Neodiprion lecontei: one gene and its partner. The protein of the gene in region 1 purifies or fractionates together with the protein of each later gene. This does not show direct contact. Links are inferred from orthologs where the notes say so. Each region holds a gene or a part of one and is shown on either strand. Other genes may lie near its edges. The genes, in order: threonylcarbamoyladenosine tRNA methylthiotransferase and MIP18 family protein galla-2.

Region 1 (5,612 bases):
TCGCTGCGAACAGCGGGTCAAAAATTACGCCCGAAAAAAATACCTAAGTATTCCCTTTGTATTTTCTCAGACATTGAATTTGCGGTGTTCTAGATGTCCCCTTCGGATTTCTAAGGACAATCATTCAGAAACGTGTTCTACCCGATTTCTATCGCGTTCTATCGATTATTCGACGGATAGATTTCGGGCTCTAAAAATGTCGAAACAGAATGACTGTCCGGAACGATTTTCATAGGATTACTCCCATCCTTTTGCAATGTAGAATTAAGTAAATCGAAAAAAGTTCAGCATAAAATTATGTTTTCATACTTGACGAAGATTTCAGTTATGTTTAACGTTGCTAGAATGGATTCTCCAATAAGTCACGTCGACGTTATGTTTCAAGAGGAAACAATCTTAACTATTCCGAAGTCACTGCGAATAAGAATTTTAATGGCACTACACAAATCTCATTGCATTCCCTAGTTGACTACTTAATTGTTCGATCTTAAGAAGTCCTGGCTATTGTGAGAGTGTGGATACAAATCTATCTGGAGACAAGAAGTTCCTTGTCTATAGCGAAAGCTAAGGCCTCTCTTATCCTTTTCAAATCATCTGCTGATTTCGAGAATCGAGAAAAATCAGTTCTGTATGTGCCATATTTACGTATTCTCCGGAAGGAAAACGCTTTCGCATCGTTCTTAATAACGAGGGTCAACGATTCAAAAACTATAGCAGACAAATGCAATTTTTGTTTTTTTGTTTCAAACCTTTTTTCCACTATGTCTTATCGATTTACTTGTCGTTTCCGGTTTTTTTGGTTTGCAGTTGTTCGAGCTTTTAATAAGTATTTTACAGATAATAAATTCTCTATCCCAAAAATATCACATTCTTTACGTTTTTCCGTGTTTGTAAAATTGAATGCTTTCGCCTCGACGTTTTTTTTCTGTGCATAGAATTTTTTTTACTCCGGATAATTTAAGGGGTTGCCCTGGTCGATTTCGATGTTAACGTATATGTATATCTCCAAACGTTGAAGTCCACGTATCTCAAACGCGAAAAAGGGCTTAACAAGACCATTTTATATGCAATTCTGACCAAGAATACTCCATTATATTTTCATTCTACGCAGAAATAAAGAAATGGCATAAATTCTATGAATTTACCATTGAGATTACATAGAAACTATGCCATTTCTTTATTTCTGCGTCGAATGAAAATGTGTTGGTGTGTGGTTATTCAGAATTTTGTATACAATGGGGCTGTTAAGACCATTTTTGCGTTTGAGATACGTAGACTTTGATATTTGAAGGTACATATGCAAGACACATCGAAATCGATTAGGACACCCCCTTAAATTATTTAGCCTGACACTTTTGTACAATACGTGTTGTTTTATTGTATTCATGATTTCAGGCGTAGAACTAAGTTATATACAATAATTAAAGGTATTCTCTTGGTGTAAATTGAGGTCTTTAAAGATAGAGCTTCTTGTCAAGTTACGTTTCGAGGTGCGTGCGGCTGATTCTGTAAATAATAAAAGATATAACAATTAGTACGAGTAGCTGAAAGTTGATACATCAATAAATAGTACAATAACAACTGTTGTTGTATTCTTGAATAATTATGGAAAATCATGTCTGAGAAGGAGCTCTACACTGCCCGAACACATTTAACCAAACGGACTCACATTACTCCTTGAGAATACCTGCATGTTAATAGACTCGATTTTGACTCTGTGACACTTGCCTTGTGTTCCAACCACTGGTTGGAGCCGAACGACGAGCGCATTCTGCCGAGTGACTAGAAATTTCTAACCACAGGCAGACAGCGCCAATCCAGGCGATGTTCAAATATTCGAATGAAATCGAATGTTTTGAATTGGCCGGGTAACAAGCGTTTTCGTCGGTAAAGCAGACAATGTCTCCCTAGATAAGTTCTGTCGTACCAATTGCCACATGTCCTCTCCACTACACGTCTTTCTGATAACCTAACTTAGTCGATCCTAACCTATAAAATAAACAAAACAGCCGTAGTTTCTGTATTTCTGTGGAAAATCACATTACCTCAACAAATACTCATCTCAATCGCTGAACAGTTTCGAATCCGCACGAAAATATCTAAGAAAAAACAATATCCTCCAAAATGTCGTCGCCCTGCAGTGACATAATAGACGACATCGAGGACCTGATATCATCCCAGGACATAACGCCGAAGGAGCGTTACAGCACCAAGAAAAACGTGACAGTGCGAGCCAAGCGAAAAAAAGACATCCGCGAAGCTCCGGAGGCTACAATCCTGTCCAGCGTCATTCCAGGCACGCAAACAATCTACGTGAAGACCTGGGGCTGCACGCACAACAGTTCAGATAGCGAATACATGGCTGGTCAGCTGGCAGCGTACGGCTATAATTTGACAGAGGACAAAAGCCAGGCTGATCTGTGGTTGTTAAATTCATGCACGGTAAAAAACCCAGCCGAAGATCATTTCAGGAATGAAATCGAGCTCGGCAGATGCAGCGGCAAGCACGTTGTAGTCGCTGGCTGCGTGCCTCAGGGTGCACCGAAAACAGGTTTCCTGTCCGGTCTGAGCGTAATTGGCGTCCAGCAGATCGACCGGGTGGTCGAGGTGGTCGAGGAGACGTTGAAAGGAAACTCGGTTAGATTTCTGGGTCAGAAGAAAGAGCAGGGAAAGAAAATCGGCGGAGCTTCGCTGGCCCTGCCGAAAGTCAGGCGGAACCCACTGATCGAGATCATCGCCATAAACACAGGCTGCCTGAACCAGTGCACCTACTGTAAAACAAAGCACGCGAGAGGCGAATTGGGCAGCTATCAACCAGACGAGATAATTGAGCGTGCCAAGCAGGCCTTTTCCGAGGGCGTCTGTGAACTCTGGCTTACCTCTGAGGACACAGGGACCTACGGCCGTGATATCGGCTCCAGCCTTCCAGAGCTCCTCTGGAGACTCGTGGAAGTCGTGCCCGAGGGCTGCATGATGCGCATCGGGATGACAAACCCCCCCTACATCCTGGAGCACCTTGAAGAGATGGGCAAAATTCTTCAACATCCCAGAGTCTACAGTTTTCTGCACGTCCCTGTTCAGTCGGGCAGCGATCAGGTGCTCGCAGATATGAAGAGAGAGTATTGCTGCGCTGACTTTGAACAGGTTGTTAATTTCCTGCAAGCCCGGGTACCTGGCGTCACCATTGCCACGGACATAATATGCGGTTTTCCTACCGAGACAGACAACGACTTTGAAGACACCATGATCCTCTGCAGAAAGTACAAGTTCCCAAGTCTGTTCATCAACCAGTTTTATCCCAGGCCTGGAACTCCGGCTGCAAGGATGGACAAGGTTCCTGCTCAGGAAGTCAAAAAGAGAACGAAAAAGTTGTCCGAATTTTTTCAGTCCTACGAACCGTACGGTCACAAAGTTGGCCAGGTTCAAAATGTTCTCGTCACTGAGATTTCTCACGACAAGAAACACTTCGTTGGGCACAACAAGTTCTATGAACAGGTTTTGGTGCCCATGAGGGATGGGTTCATGGGTAAGATGGTTCAGGTTCGAATCATATCCGCCACCAAACATTCTATGAAAGGACAGCCGCTCGATGAAGGAATCTCTGCGTCGATCAGAACTCCGCTGCCCAAAGGAATTGTCTCCGGTATTATTGAAGTTGCCGAAACCAAACAATCCGAACCATCCAAATACAGACTGTTTGCTCTCATTGCAATTTTCTTGGCAGTGTTCGCCAGATTTTTATGGAAACTTTTAAACGTTTGATTATCACTATTTTAGGATAAAGAATTTGTCCGTGTTGTTTATTTTTGCTGGAATCATTTTCACTATTAAAAGAAACAATGCGGAATTATATTTATTTATTTGTTCCCATGTAAATATGTAACTGTATATAACTGTTATTGATATGACGATTTCGTAAACTCAGATGTATTTATAATTTCGAAATTCAACGAATTTCAAAATTATTATAACTGTTATTATTATGTAAATATTGCTTGGCATGTGAGGTATAAATTCTTGACAATACGAAAGCCAAAACTCTAAATAGATATCCGATGGTTGAAAATCTATTGTTTGAAATTCATATTAGGGAATCCAAATGTCTTTCGTTTTGTTTGTTGTCAGGACAAAGAATTTTGCGACATCAAATGGTTTCTTGCCAAAGCTTTGGCTTGATTGTTGTCTGACTAGTAAATTGAATACCAAATAATCCTAAGTATCGATTTCATAATTTTATGATCGAGATGTGCATAGTAATGGCAGTAGTAAACTGATCCGATATATTTTTTACATCTTGATCAAAGTTCTTAATTGCTTAAAATGCGATTTTGTTTATTCTAGTAAATTCATTGTGAATAGATCACTAGAAAGATGACAATCTTACTTTTTCACGAGTATCTCATGTCAAATTATTTCCCATTTTCCAATTTCACAATTTAATTAATACACCCATAGCCAGTTCCAATCTGACCCATGTTCATAATTCTGGCGTTTACTAAAGATTTATAAAGACTGCTAGCCAAATGGGACTTTCCGTAACCGAAAAAGGCCAAGATAAATTCCTAGAAGAGATACAAAATTTAAGGTAATATTTAGAAGATAAAACCATCGTCAAGCAGCGCGAAGGAGTAATATAATAAAGGGATGAAATTAAATAGTTATATTTCTATGTAACTTATGTACTTGTAAGCTTTCTGAGATACATGACTAACATGTTCATCACCAGGAGAATGGGACTGGCACAGAAAGTCAATTTTTAATGCTTTAATTGAGGTTAAATTTCTCGTAAAGAATGCACAATTGTTAGTAACACTTGAGTCCATGTTGCAATAAAACCCGGTAAACTTTAGGTAATCATTATTACAAAAGTAATAGAAAAAGCAATTTCAAGCTAATCTGGATATTTTTCCACCTGTACCTACTATCACTTGATTGAATGGTAAAATCGGTTACTAACTTTTAAATACATGATTATTCAAAAATTTATTGGTTAAATGGCCCGGAGAATTACTCATATTTGTTCGCTTTATTATAGACCTAAGGCAGTCGTTATGTTCACAACAAGGAATTTCAAGTTTGAGAATACTAGTCCAGGAGCCGACCGCACCGTATCTTCCCTCATCGAACATACGGCCAAAATGCATATGAATCGATGGGGAATATAGTGGTCAATAGAGTGCCAGACTTTATAGACAATGGATCCTGTCCGGAGTGTCAAAAAAAATTTTCACTTCCGGTCAGTTTTTTGAGGTCAACTTCCCTCATCGAACATACGATTGAAACTAGTACCAATTGATAGGGGAGGTCGAGTACTTGAAGAAAAAACCGGGATGCTACCCGTCACCCTGTGCAGGGGGCGGCTGCCACCTCTAAGTGTAGGCTTTTTTGGTGCATAAATTTCCTCATCGAACATACGGTTTGTTTCTTTTAATTGAAGATTGAACCTCCCCGAACCTGAAAAAATCGGGATGCCACCCGTCACCCTGTGCAGGGGGGCGGCTGCCACCCCTAAGTGTAGGCTTTTTTGGTGCATGTCTTCCCTCATCGAACATACAGTTTTTTTTTTTTTTTAATTGAAGATTGAACCTCCCCAAACCTGAAAAAATCGGGGT
Region 2 (3,551 bases), on another chromosome or scaffold:
TGAGAACACAAGAAGAAATTTCACATTGGTTCTAATCCAAGAAACCTTGCCAATAAAAGATATGAGACTACTTATAATCTTGTGATCTTAAAGCCAAAGTCTAGACTAGCCGCAAGAGAGGCCAGCGGTTAGAGGTGAAAGGCCATTGGAGTGGTATGGATACTTATGGCATGCAAGAAATGCCGAACTCGCAATTGAGATAACATATGAAGGTATACATATAGATATCACTTCTCCTCTCATCATTGCGATTCTGATTCTCACGAGCTCTTATTACTATGACCTTGAACTTGACGTAATTGCCGTTCCAATGTAGATAAAGCCACGCCTATAATTGTGTGTGTGTGTATCTGTGCTGAGCATGTATGTGTTGGGTACCGGGTAGTCGTTACGTAGTGACAGTGGAATGAAGCCAAATTCTGCTCTCACCTCGCTGGATTGCTAATTAGTTCTCAATCCCGTCTACGATTCGCGCGTATCATTTCAGAGATTAATTAGTGTGAGATAAAAGTAAGCATATATTATCCACAATTGTAATAGTCGGTGAAATTTGTCGAAAGTTGAAACCTCTTTTTTGCCTTCGAAAATTGGTCAGAAGAAGACAAAAAAAAAGGACGAATTAGCCGAATAATTGGAAATCGTGATTCAGTAGGTGTTCGGCAGAACTGAAACGCTTACACACCGAAACGATTTTTGCACAACCGTCGCGTCGCATGCAAGTAATCAAAGTCCAGCCACACTTTACGCCGTTCCACCCTCAGACGGCTGCGGGTAATTTAGCTTTCTCCTCCCCGCGACTTCCCCCCAGCTTCCCTTGGGGTTCGCGCATCAACTGCAACGTAGGGTATGGCCTGTATATCTATAGGCTCCAACTTCGACTACAGACCCTATATTTCATTCTTGCCGAAGGGTGCGACCGTCCGGACGGTATAGAGCCAGCCAGACCTGTAATATACTTTCGTAGTTACAATGCGAAACATACGCTCGATACTCTTTATTTTTAAGACCTGCAACGTTGAATCAATGTAGAGTATTCGTGAAGCGCCTCAGCCTAGTTCCAGTTGTTATTACCTACTGCAAACAGAAAATGATATACACGCATACGGGAAATGCCATACGAAATTAAACAATTTTAATTCCAATCATTCGAAATTTAGTTGAAACTTTTTCAGGTAAAAGTAAAAAGGAAAAAAATTGTTGGTCGTAAGGATACTATTACCGAAAAAAGTTTCAACAAAATAAAAAATGGTAAGGGTTCAAATTATCTGACTCCACGTGGAATCCTTTGTCCATATATCATTATAACTAATGTTAATCTTCCTTACAAAAATCATTGCATAGTTCTCAGATGGTTATTTCTTTAGTTACTTGGCACGCCGGGTTTATCGTCAGCTCTTTAATTCAGTGCGTTAACGTGGAATATATCAAAAAAATGGCAAAAATATATCCCAACAATCGGAAAAGAATAGCAACGGATTAAGAATTTCAATACGATCTATTCCGATTTCTTTATCCAAACGGATGTTTCGTATTCTTTGAAAAGAATCAATTCGGATGGAAAGAATTGAATCGGATTGATAATTTCCATCCCTTATTCTAGATAGATAATTGAAACGAACAAGCTGTTAGAGGTGGCATTGTCGCGAATATGACGGGATAGGAAAGAACAGATAAAATCGAATAGAAACGAATAAACAGATTAAAACGAACAGTGTCTCATTGGAATGACTCATGCTTAATTCGGAAACTTTAAGAAATGGGATTCACAATTCTGCTAATCGATCCGTTTCTATTCTTTTCCGATTGTTGGGATCCACGTAGGTAATACTTAACAGCGATGAAACCTCTGCCCCTGTATTCCGCAGCATGACATACACATCAGCGATGCATAACCTTACGAGGGTGAACCTTAGGGATGACGTTTAGCAGCGCCATCTCGCGAAAATTTTTTAATTCTCGTTGACAATAAATAATAGCTCCGCATTTAACTCGGTGTCGGAATACCATCGGGTACCGTGTTGATTTGCACGATTTGCACTTATTAATAAGGAAAGAATGGCTGATCAATTAGAAAACACTAATCCAAAATTGTATAAAAAAGTTCATGAGAGGGAAATCACAGCTGAGGACGAAGACGAGGATGTTGTCGATGACTTTGACTCCCGAGAAATATTCGGTAATTCTAACCTCTCGCACTTTTAGCCCGTAGCCTCACGCTCACGTGATTAGTAGGGATCTAAGATTCATGAAAATTTACAGATCTTATTCGCAACATCAACGATCCGGAACACCCTCTAACTCTGGAGGAATTGAACGTTGTTGAACAAAGCCTTATAGAGGTATGTAGCTACTTAGGTTAGGTCGCCTTTAGCAGCTTCAACCCGATGGACCAGGAGTTTCATTCTGATATGCGGCTACTTTCAGGTTGATAATAAGCACAATAAAGTCCACGTTAAATTCACGCCTACGATACCTCACTGCAGCATGGCAACATTGATCGGTCTCTCTATCAGAGTCCAACTTTTGCGTGCCCTGCCATCAAGGTTTAAAGTGAATGTGGAAATAACGCCCGGAACGCACGCCTCTGAGACAGCGGTAAACAAGCAGCTTGCAGATAAGGAAAGAGTTGCAGCCGCACTGGAAAATAATCACCTTATTGAAGTAATCAATCAATGCATTGCCGCAAAAATGTAAATGGTCTACGTCGGCTAGATGTAAAAATAATTCACTCTTACTAGTGAGTAATGTACAGTTTTGTATATAACATGTAATACTAGAGTATAATTTTGATGTAAAAATTCTATTGGAATTCATATGAATCGGATGGAATAAACAAATGGCAAGTTATGGCTAAAGTTTTCCTTTTATTATCACAATATATTTACAACAACTCAATCCCGTTTCCGGGCCATAATCCGTGTCGGTGGTGGTGTTTGCGCAGTGGGATTATATTTATACGTTTTTGGTACAGGCCCCCGTCCAGCCCGTTCAAATTCCATGTGATCTGCTTCGCCTCTGTCTTGTAATGCCCCAGCCAGTTTCATGTTGGACCAAGCTGCAACAATGGTAGTTTGGTTGAAGGATTTCAGAATAACAAACCGAACAGACTGGAAATCGATTGTATAATAATTTACATTCTTTGAATCCTTTGACAAATCCTTTGTTGGGAGCAAGTTGCGTCGGTGCATGCTTAATAGTTGCTTCGATTTTGAAAAAGGTTCGAACTGATGGAACCTTCAAAAGCATAGCTTGACCTAAAGATATAAAATTTGTCGCAGTCCAGTAAACTAATATAGCCTGAAATCAAGGTGGAAGTTGGATGAAGATAGTGAGCAACACAATTTTTTTTTACTACTCTCAATTACCAACTTACTCCGTCAAAATGCATGATGAATGGAAACATAATGATAGGAATTGCTTTGATCGCATGTGCCATGAATCCAGGTCCCAAAGTATCCAGTTTTAACCCGTCAGCTCCAATCTTTATCGTTACATACATTGTAGCGCTAGTTATCAGCGGTAACAAATAGTATTGGTCAGGAATAGTTAAA

Evidence for each region.
Region 2: the proteins of threonylcarbamoyladenosine tRNA methylthiotransferase (region 1) and MIP18 family protein galla-2 purify together in Homo sapiens (affinity purification with mass spectrometry; 3 studies listed by BioGRID and IntAct, with this or other methods). This does not show direct contact. The link is inferred for Neodiprion lecontei from reciprocal best matches to the Homo sapiens genes CDKAL1 and CIAO2B.

The regions. Positions count from the first base shown.
Region 1 is NC_060264.1:19,946,620-19,952,231, reverse strand, and holds threonylcarbamoyladenosine tRNA methylthiotransferase, read left to right. Parts: upstream 1-1,928; 5' UTR 1,929-2,124; coding exon 2,125-3,762; 3' UTR 3,763-4,849; downstream 4,850-5,612. UniProt on the Homo sapiens protein: Catalyzes the methylthiolation of N6-threonylcarbamoyladenosine (t(6)A), leading to the formation of 2-methylthio-N6-threonylcarbamoyladenosine (ms(2)t(6)A) at position 37 in tRNAs that read codons beginning with adenine.
Region 2 is NC_060261.1:37,580,688-37,584,238, forward strand, and holds MIP18 family protein galla-2, read left to right. Parts: upstream 1-1,956; 5' UTR 1,957-2,055; coding exon 2,056-2,176; intron 2,177-2,259; coding exon 2,260-2,339; intron 2,340-2,424; coding exon 2,425-2,694; 3' UTR 2,695-2,855; downstream 2,856-3,551. Other genes in the region: mitochondrial inner membrane protein OXA1L, read right to left, coding at 2,892-3,055, 3,135-3,297, 3,374-3,551.